Caenorhabditis elegans: one gene and its partner. The protein of the gene in region 1 interacts with the protein of each later gene in a pairwise test. Each region holds a gene or a part of one and is shown on either strand. Other genes may lie near its edges.

Region 1 (3,747 bases):
AATGCACATGCACATCACATCACAGCACATTAATTACAGCTTAAATCCTGAATTCGGAACTCCTCATATTATCGTCGTTATCGTCAACATTGTTGTGAAGCTGTTTTTGTTTTTTGTATGCCTTATGTAAGTTTTTCCAACTTTTTTATTAATTGAGTATGGGACCCGGTCTGGACATGGTTTTTGCGTCAAATGAAAAAAGTGACTATGATTTATTTATTTAAAAAACACCTAAATAAAAATATGCTGAAAGAAGATTTGAAAAAGTTACTAAAAACTGGATAAAACTGAAGAATGTCTGAAACTCTTCCGCGACGGAAGATTCAAAAATTCAGTACTGTTTAAAAATCGTATTTATGGTTAAAAAGCCGCAATTTTAGTTTTTGCGCTCAAAATGATCTCAAATGACCGAGTTTCGAACGAGACTTCTCAAAAAAAAAAAATGGTATGGGTTTTAAAATTCTAAGAAAAGTTCACCACAAAGACATAGTAAAAAATTCAGATCTTAGCCCCTTTGTGCCGCCAAGAAAATGTTCAGTAACGACAAACGCAGTATGTTAAAATTAAAATTTCAGTAAACGAGAGAACAACCAAATTCGGGTTTTGATGAGGGACCAGCTTACAGATGTATTGACAAACTCGATTGCTCTTGTTGCTGTGTGCATTGCCCATTCGTATTGGAAGGTATGTTTTTTGTCTGTGAAGAATGGCAAATGTTTCTTTAGGAATGCGATTTCATCGGTGCTTTTATAATTTTCTTACTAATCATAAGAAACTGGGCGCCAATTGTTTCCGAATCTTGGTTCAAACTTCAAGGCATTAAGGGAGATGATGAAATAAATGATAAAATTTCACAGGTTTTTACATTCACAAGTTTTTTTTACATCAAAAAATTTGAAGATAATTTCGAGTAACCAGTCCATGTTTACTGTGATAGTTGGATATATAACTTATCATGTTGGTAACAAAGCAATTGTAGAGGTAAACTATAATAACTGGAAAATGAGTGAATACATCAAATTGTAGATATATTGTGAAGTGGAAAACCAACAAAATCGAGAAGAAATTCAATCAAAATTCAGTGCGGACGAGGTATTGGCGGTTTATCTACTACCAGTGGAGGAGAGCAAGGTAGGAATCTTATTCAACAGAAAAAGTTTCAATGTAAACTACTACTACCCTTTTGTTAAAAATCAAAATTTGAGAAAACATTTGGAAGCTTTATCTTTGATAATTTATGTTATTGTTAAAAAATTAAATTTTGATTTGAAAATGTGCAACTGGCTTTATCTTTCTCTGTGTATACCTTTTTAACATTAAAGATGAGTAAAATAACTTTTCTTATGAATGAGCATGGTCAAAAATCTACTACTTATAACACAGGGTTTCTTACACAGAATTAGTAAGTATATTTACTTTCATATGTTGTTGTTGTTGACTTCAAAAAATTTAATTTCAGAACGTGCATTTGCTTTCTGTAAAACAACCTGACGTCGATTGCTCTAAAAATGCAGAATCCGTAGAACTTTTACAAAAAGTTTGATCTATTGTTCATGTTGTTTAATACTGAATCGCACTGCTTTATCTGTATTTTGAATCTACCGTATTTCCTCTATTAGTTAGGCACCTCTATTAGTTTTGCACCTCAATTAGTTTTGCATCCAAAATCACTAATCGAAAATTAGTTTTGCACCCTCTATTAGTTTTGCACCTCTAATAGTTTTGCACCACTTCATTTGTTCCCTAATTTTAAGAATTCAAAATTTGCATTAAAAATCGTTCTAATAATTAGAAGAACTCTTACAGACTTGGTATAAGAGGTCAAAACTGGCAAAATATGAGTACAACTCGTACAATTTTTGCGTATCAGTCGTAAAATTCGTCCATTTTGGTTCATAAGTTGTTATTGAAATTGATGATATTATGCCACAACTTAATGGAAAACGTGAGAAAAAACCTGTTCGAAAATTAGTTTTGCACCCTCTATTAGTTTTGCACCTTCATTAGTTTTGCATCAAATTAGGTGTCCGAAAATTAGTTTTGCATGCCTTACTAATAGAGGAAATACGGTAATCATTATTTTGACAGGTTTATATTTATATGTATTGATAAGTCTTTTGATAAGTCTTTTTTAACAAACCCTTAAAACTAAAGTAATGCTTTTCAATTCAAATATTGCAAAACAAAATCGTAGAATTTGATTTTCTATTTCCCATTACTGCCCTTTACTTCCCTTGGCACTTATTGGCAAAAATTTCATACAAATAATAATAGACCCATCGAAAAAAGGCAATCAATTCAACAATAAACCAGAAGCCACACCTATCAATGACAATTATCTGGTGTCCAACCCTCTTACCTGAAATGTCTTCCGACCATTCGTCCCATTTCGATTTCCGAGCCAAGTGAGCTCTACATAAAGTGAGCTCTCTCAATCTTTTGGGATATGAGGCGAAGGCTCGCTATGGCGATCCTTGGTTTCACTATCCCATTTCTAATGAACTGTGCACTCATCGGCTCCACGGCTCTCATGATGATCCACAACGAGGTAAAAAGTCAGTAGTTGATAACCTCATTTTAATTCCCAGACTGTTAATTTTCAGAGCCCTCTGTTCATAGTGGCATCAATCACGATGTCGCTGTGCGTGACACTGGTAGTCATCAAAGCAAGCTTCCATCTGATAACAGAGCTCGCGGGACCACTGGAAACCGGGCCGGCCCGACGTCAAACCACGCGAGATGCAAATAGAGATTCAGAAGAAATGATCCCAATGACAAGCCGACATTCAAGCATAACATCGACAATTCCAAGTCGGCCAATGTCTCCAATTCCACCATCAACTCCGCCACCACGATCTCCTGCACCTTGTACGCATTTGGCCCAATCTTAGCCGCAATGTGAATACTTATCTGATAATTGACACGTTTTGTCTTTTTGTAAAATCTATTTAACTTTCTTTCTAGTCTTCTTCATACTTTTTTCGAGCGGTATGACTTGCATATTTGACTCAACTTTTACCATTGCCCGTCCCACGAGGGAACATTTTAAAAAACGTAATTTTCAACATTCAACACGAATTCGAACTTTGGAACACAGTCGCCTACTTTCTTAATAAAATTTTGGATCAGATCACTCTTTGCCAAGATTCTAAAAAAAATTTTAATATACAGCACAACTGTAAATAACGCATCAAATTTATGTTTGTGTATTAAAGACGTAAAAGAATTTTGTGTTTTTTGCTTTAATTGATTCAAAATGTCTCCAAACAACCGAATTTTACAGGAAGACACTCTGAAGATGTAAGTAAATCTTTGAAAAAAAAGTTAAAATAAATTTTGAAATGTTAACAAATTTTCCTTGTTGTGGCGGGTTAGTTAAAATTTAATTATTGCCTTGATTTGCATATTTGGAGGGTATTTTGGCTTTATATCTTCAAATTAGTTTTTTTTAGAAAATAAACATAGACCCATCAGAGAAAAACCCCAATTTCAAGTTTTCCTTATCAGATAATAAGTGAATAAAAACTAAATTCTGGTCTCTAGGACAAAGACAAGTTTAGTAGAATCGGTAGATTTCAGTTGGCTTCGACCCAATTTTTTCCGAAATTTAAAACCACCATATGAAACAATTGTGAACATGTTTGAGATGTCTAGTTTTTTTGCGTAAATGTGCATTTTGTAGGCTTAAATTTGCTTATGGTTTTGATCTGCGCGCGTACTGGTGTGTTTTTTTTAAATTTTAAACAC
Region 2 (7,263 bases), on another chromosome or scaffold:
CCCTTCAAGCTCTGCAGAGTGCTCTACCCAACCCGCCGTTGCCGAGCAAGAAGACAACTCCCTTTTGGCACAACTTTTAAAAGGAAAAATCACGTCTGATGATGCAAAGTTGCAACCACCACGTGGACCTTTCGAATACGCACCGATGCTCTCCGAGGAGGCACAATTTGCGATTAAGCTGGCGGGTCTTCTCAACCCGAATCCGGTCACTGAACAGGACCCGAGCACTTTCAAGCCGCCTCCGAAAATGAGCAATAATGTTCGAAAAAACATTAATTTGACTCCGGTTATTGAGAATGCAGTTCCGAGTGGATTTGAACTGGAAAGTCCGAAAGATCAGGCATTTGATGTGGTTCATGGAAGACTATCTATGGGACAGAATCAGACATGTTATTTTGTACGTTTACGGTAGAAGTTCAATATTAAAATTTAAATAATCTTCCAGGTCACAGTCGAGGAAATGAGACGAAGATTGCAAAGTCCGGAGAAGCTCAATAGTTCGAGTATCGCATGCAATCTTAAAAGGCCAAAACTGAAGAATGGAGGTGAACTGATGCGCGCTCAACTGAGAGATCATGGAATCAAGGTTCAACTGAATGCGAAACAGAAGGCTTTTCCCAACAAAGTGATCGCTTTGGTCGAAGCGGAAGCTGTTCATTTGGGACTTGATCTTGGAACAGCTGTACGAGATGATTATCCAGTTCAAGATATAATTCAAGAAGTTGCTCATGAAGCATTGGCTGACGAGGATGCAGATCTGGATGCGTTGATGAATGATAAGGATTTCACGTAAGTTGACTATATTCCAATTTCTCAATTCTGACGCCAAATTCCAAATATTTCAGAGAATGTATGTCAGCACTTGAATCAGTTTTCACATCAGTCGTCCCTCCGATCACTGGAATCGAGCCAAAACCGTCGAACAACATGCGACTGAACAATGGAATGGAGACCTTTTCATCAGCTTCACATGGACTTGGAATCGTGTCTCAACGGGTTTGGCTCCCCCAATTGACTGCAATCGGAAATGGAGTCGCATCTGAACTTCGACGCTTGACAGAGACGCCAACTGAATCAAAGCCAGAGGAATTGAAAGCATAAATTCATATTTTCATATTCTGATATTTAAAACAATCTGATTACCAAGGTCTCACTTATTTTCCATGATCTCTATGATGTTTTCACTTAATTTCAATGAAACTTTTTATTTATTTAAATCCTCATACGATGTTCCTTAGTACTAGGAAATGCATCATTAAAAATGATTTTCATATTGCTAGTACGTCTTATAGAGTAGCTTCGAATTCACTTTATACATTTGAATAATATTGAATTTTATAGGTTTTACACATCATTTTGATCATTTTGATGTGTAAAACTTTGAAAAATTCATTATTATTCAAATGTATAAAATGAATTCGAAGCTTCTCTATAAGACGTACTAGCAACATGAAAATAATTTTTAATGATACATATTCCAAAACTGAAAATTAGGAATTTCTTTACCCCCGTTCCTCACGTGAAAACATTTATTGACCCTGTGGCAATGTGCGCTTGCGCGTCTGCGTCTCCAGAAGGCGTAATCTCTCGTGTTCAAACACTTTCTCAACTGACCATTTGTTTGCGTCGTTGCCGACGGCTTAACCATATGTTGCCTTTTCCCCCTTACATTTATACAAGACAGTAATATTAATAAATCGGTTTGATCTACAAAAATGCGGGAATTTTTTGGTCAAAAAATGTGACGTCAGCACGTTCTTAACCATTCGAAATCAGTTGACAGCTCTGCATCTAAATTCCCGCATTTTTTGTAGATCTAAGTAAATCCAGCTGAAATGAGCCATCTGACACCACGTGATTTACTGAAACATTATTTTCCAGTCAAAAATGGGATTAGCTCAGTCCCACTCGCGGACGCCCTCTCGTGATCCACTTCCAAATGACCATCAAGTAATGGATGTGTATGAAGAGTCTGGTCCAAGACGGGGAAGAAAACGAAAAGCGGCAAAAGGAAGTGAGATTGAGATGAAGAAAGTGGCAAAACTGAACACATGTGCATATGTATATCAGAAATTGTTTTTACAGGTTAGAATAAATTGAATTTTTAGTGCAAAATGGGTAACTAAAATATGGAGTTGACTAAATTAATGCAATAAAATTCCAAAATGAATGTTTTGTTTCAACAAATTTGAGATTTCTTCGTCACGAATCTGGTAAATTGTGTTTTTTTTTAATTTTGTAACATGGAAAAAGAAAAAACTGATTATTTAGTTCGAAAACCTACATTTTAGTATTTTTTCACTAATTATGCCAACTATATACCGTATTTCCTCTATTAGTCTTGCATGCAAGAGAAAATTGCCAAAATTGTTACTATTGTGCTGAAATTTTATTCTCAGAATTTTTAAAATTACAGGCAAAACAGGGCCACTCGTAATTTTGAACGTCTACCAAAAATTGATTTTTACTATGATTTTGGAATTTTTAAAATTCCGGAAATATCGTAAATTTTTCCAAAAGTCCAAATTTTTTGAAAATTTGACATTTTATCAAAGATTTTTTCGGCGTTTTTCAATTGAGACATATCTTTTTTTCGCATTTTGAGTATGCAATTGATGAAAAATTTCAGAATTATCACAAATTTCAGTACAAAACAGTTTAATACTGAGAAATTAATTTTTTAAAAACTTAATTTTCACAGGTATGTAGTTTCAGAAATTTTCACTCAATCAGAGGTGCGCGACAATCGAGTTTTCGGCAATTTCGGAAATTGCCAAACATTTTGAAACCCAGCAATTGTCGGAATTGCCGGAAATTTCCAAAACCGGCAATTGCCGAAACTGCCTATTGCCGAAAATTTTGAAAACCGGCAATTATCGGAATTGCCGGAAATTTCCAAAACCGGCAATTGGCGAAATTGCCGGAAATTTTGAAGACCGGCACTTGCCGAAAATTTCCAAAACCGGCAATTGCCGTAAATTTTGAAAACCGGCAAATGTCAGAATTGCCGGAAATTTCCGATTGCCGCCAAAAAACTATGACCATAATTATTTTGAAATTCCTTTGTATAATTAGTAGGGAAAGAAAACAATTCAATTGAAAGAAATTTGGAAATTTTCTCAAATTTCGTTATTTTTTCAGGGAGAAAATTCGGACATTGTCCTGGCTGCGTGTGGCAGGGAATGGAGGGTTCACAAGCTTTATCTAAAGCAGACCAAATTTTTTGAAGTGAGTTTTTTGAATTGTTTCAAATTAATTTCGAATGCTTTTAGTCAATGTTCGATGGTTTATGGACAGAGTCGAATAGTGGAAGAGTTCAGATGGAAATAACAGATCCGAATATTGACGCAGATGGTCTAAACTCGGTGCTCGGAAGTCTATATCACAATGAGATTGAGATAGATTTGGATAAAATCGAGGGAACTGTGGCAGCGGCTTCATATATTGTACTTGATAGTGTCACAGATAGATGTTCAGAAATGATGATTGAAGCATTAAGCACAAAGAATGCAGTTCGATTCTACGATGTTTCAACTAAATATGGTCTGGAGAAGGTTCGAGAGAAATCGATGGAAGTATTGTTACACCAATTTTGGAAAATAATGACTGATAGGGAGAAGCTCAATGAAGTTGATCGACAGCTTTTTGTGACGCTTCTCAATTCACCCAATCTTTTGATAATTGAAGGCGAATTTGATCTTTATAAAGTTGTTAAATCTGTAAGTCATTTCTCATTCCCGAAAATTTAAAACCGAATTTTAATAATGAGGCTTCTCAAAAATTCGAAAAAAAGTCCAATTTTGCTAAAATCAGCTGGTTCAACAATGAAAAGTTGGCGAAATTTGGCTCGAATTTTTTGGGGGCCAGTATGAGTATTTTAAAACAGTGAAAATTTTTACACTTTTTCACTTTTAATTATCAATAGCAGAAACTAATTCTTCCTAGAACTACAGTAATCCTACACTGCTCCCCAGGGGAGCGCGGCAATTTCCAGAATTGCCGGAAATTTTGAAAACCGGCAATTGCTGGAATTGCCGGAAATTTTGAAAAGCGGCAAATGCCGGAATTTCCTAAACCTTCCGAAACCGGCAACTGCCGCAACTGACGGCAACTGGCAACTGAAACTGGCAATTGCCGGAATTGCCGATTGCCCGAAATTTTGAAAGGCAGCAAATGCCTAAATTGCCGGAAATTTTGAAAACCGGCAAATTCCGAAATTGTCGATTGCCAGAAATTATGAAAACCGGCAATTGCCGGAATCGCCTAAAATTTCCAAAACCAGCAATTGCCGGAATTTCCGATTGTCGGAAACTTTAACAACCGGCAATTGTCCGACTTGCCGATTGCCGGAAATTTTGAAAACCGGCAATTGTCCGGAATGGCCGGGAATTTTTGAACACCGGCAATTGCCGGAATTCCCGATTGCCGAAAGTTTTGAAAACAGGCAATTGCCGGAATCGCCGGAAATTTCTAAAACCGGCAATTATCGGAATTGCCGATTGCCGAAAATGTTGAAAACAGGCAATTGCCGGAATCGCCGGAAATTTCCAAAACCGGCAATTATCGGAATTGCCGATTGCCCGAAATTTCCAAAACCGGCAATTGCCGGAATTGTCGATTGCCGGAAATGTTGAAAACAGGCAATTGCCGGAATTGCCGATTGACAAGAATTTTGAAAACCGGCAATCGCCGCAAATTTTCACATCTACAACACTACTACGAGACCCCGACAACTCATTATTCAAACTACAGTACCCCTACAGTAGCCCTACACTAAACCCAACCCTCCACTATTTCGAAAGACAAATTCTAATTTTTTCTGACTATAAATAAAAATTGTATTTTATATATAGAAAATGATTACAGTGGATCTACATGCGAGAAGTGCCCGATTGCTGCAAGGATGACAGTCCAGAGACTTTCACTCAAAATGCTTCCAAATTTTTCAAAGAATCGAAAACTTCAATGTTCATAAAATATGCGGATATCTTTGCCAGTCTACGAATAGAACAGTTTTTGACATGTTCTGAAACTATAAAAACAGTCAAATCAGATGCATTAATTCCGTTGTCAATTGTTGATGAAATGACGTCAGCACTTTGGTCATCACTTTTAGAAAATGAAGAAAGTCCAAAGTAAGTTCGAAAGTCGACAGAATAGTGATAAACTTTGAGCTGTTCAGAACACTTGAAATGGATGATGATGAGTTTTTTAAACGATGTATTAGGCTTGGTAGATCATTGGATTCATTCCCGGTTAGTTACTTATTCGAAATCTAAAAAATCTTTTTAAAATTATAGAAATGCTGGCGATGGATAGGATTCAATTTCGGAGTTGATCTACTTCTTCATGTAAACGACTATTCTGTATGTATAAAACGAAATTGTCTCAACCAAAAAGCTCCGTATTCGGTGAACTTAAAGTCTAAACATGTTCTACATTACCGGTAAGTTGTTGGTTGCCACGATTTTCAAGATAAATAGTCAAATTCAGACTGGTCATTTGCGACTCAAATGGTCAAATCCTCTATGACAGTGGAAAAACCACGTGGGAAATGAAGCCAGATGAAGCTAGAACAATCTATCGAATGAGTGAAGACTTGGCAACTCAGATATCAGTTCACTTTCAGTATCTGATTCATCAACCGATTTGTAGTACAGGTCATTATGTGAACAAGTATCTAGATGATCAGAATTCTACTGATGATGAAGACGATGAGGAAGAAGAAGATGATGATGGAGATGACGAAGAAGACAGCTCGTAGTTTTCAATTATCGGAGGACTGACGGTTCGGACGATTTCAAACTTATAGACCCAAAATGTGCTCAAATGAAAGAATTTCGTAATGAAACTTCTCAAAAATTTTTCAAAGATTTTTTTATGGCGGTTAAAAAATTAAAAAAATATTACACTGAATTTAGCTAAAATCCCGAATTTTGGCCACTTTTCCGTATCATATCTGTCCGAAGTTTACTTTTTCGGAATTATCATCCTTTATTGCATATTTTGGTACTTTATCTTATTTAATTTCGTTTATTAAAGTACATTTAAAGGCGATAGGTAACCAAAAATCATCGAAATTGGCTAACTATCGGCTTAAATGTACTACCAAAAAATGCAATAAAGGATGATAATTCCAAAAAAGTCAACTTCGGACAGATGTAACACAGAAAAGTAGCCGAAATTCGAGATTTTAGTTAAAATCAGTGTAATTTTTTCGAAATTTTGAACCACCATAAAAATTTTTTGAAACATTTTTGAGAAGTTTCATTACGAAATTTGTCCATTTCAGCCCATTTTGGGTGTATACGTTCAAAACCGTCCGAACCGTTAGTCCTCCTATAAATGTTTTTTCTTGTGCATTATGTATTAGAACCCAACTTGTACATCTATGAACATGTAATATATATCTATGCAACATAATAATAATAAAAACAATTGCATCTATATCACTGACTAAGTATTTTGAGTGTGTCTCAGCCAGTTCTCAAGGGCAGAACCTGATATATATATATTGATGGGTGACTTCACGCTGTGAACTTTCGATTATTTGCCGATATATTTTGCCCACCTTCACACAACCCTTCACGCAGGACTTCTTTAATGAAGCGAACATGATCCGAATAGCCTTTGCCGTTCTTATTTTAGTTTCGGTGGTTACCACACAACCACTGCTATTTCCGCACGGATGGTTCGAAAGCAAGAATTTACGACCGCGAGATGCAATTATGCTGAACATGATGGCACAGTCGAATCTTGAATATGGAGGTGTAACCTTAGAGGTAATTGGAATAGTGTGCGTTTAGTCATTTTTTACAAGAATGTAGGTTAAAATGGCCCAAAAGACCAAATTTAACAATAAGACTTTTTTGAAAATTCCCAAAAATGTTTCAAAATTTCGATTTAAATTAATTCAGTCTGAACCTAGAATTTTGCTTTTTTCAATCACAGATAACGAATTAATTATATTTTTGACGGGGGTATTTGAATATTAGGTACTTGTGCATTACATGCCCTCATTTTCAAATTAAATTAAATTGTCATTAATTTCTCCAATTAAAATAAACGTGATATACATTTTTCCTCTTTAGGCTTAGAAAATGTTATTTTCTAAGCCTAAAAATACAAATTGTGGTTCACGTTTTTATTTTTCATGGCTTAAAAAATTACTATTAAGATGAGGGCATGTAATACACAAGTACCGAATATTACAGGAACATTTAAAATCTGAGAATGCGTATTGTGCAACATATTTGACGCGCA

Evidence for each region.
Region 2: the proteins of F41C6.6 (region 1) and gcl-1 interact in a two-hybrid assay, tested with the Caenorhabditis elegans proteins (one large-scale study listed by BioGRID).

What each region holds. Positions count from the first base shown.
Region 1 is NC_003284.9:6,880,289-6,884,035, reverse strand, and holds F41C6.6 (CNNM transmembrane domain-containing protein), read left to right. Parts: upstream 1-2,140; 5' UTR 2,141-2,464; coding exon 2,465-2,555; intron 2,556-2,603; coding exon 2,604-2,749; 3' UTR 2,750-3,098; downstream 3,099-3,747. Other genes in the region: F41C6.7 (ZT_dimer domain-containing protein), read left to right, coding at 40-126, 576-684, 726-857, 901-981, 1,027-1,131, 1,460-1,543.
Region 2 is NC_003282.8:13,407,514-13,414,776, reverse strand, and holds gcl-1 (BTB domain-containing protein), read left to right. Parts: upstream 1-1,881; 5' UTR 1,882-1,887; coding exon 1,888-2,085; intron 2,086-3,141; coding exon 3,142-3,228; intron 3,229-3,272; coding exon 3,273-3,719; intron 3,720-4,866; coding exon 4,867-5,135; intron 5,136-5,182; coding exon 5,183-5,255; intron 5,256-5,300; coding exon 5,301-5,446; intron 5,447-5,493; coding exon 5,494-5,764; 3' UTR 5,765-6,452; downstream 6,453-7,263. Other genes in the region: Transcription factor aptf-2, read left to right, coding at 1-397, 446-789, 846-1,101; Y62E10A.19 (Neuropeptide-Like Protein), read left to right, coding at 6,615-6,782.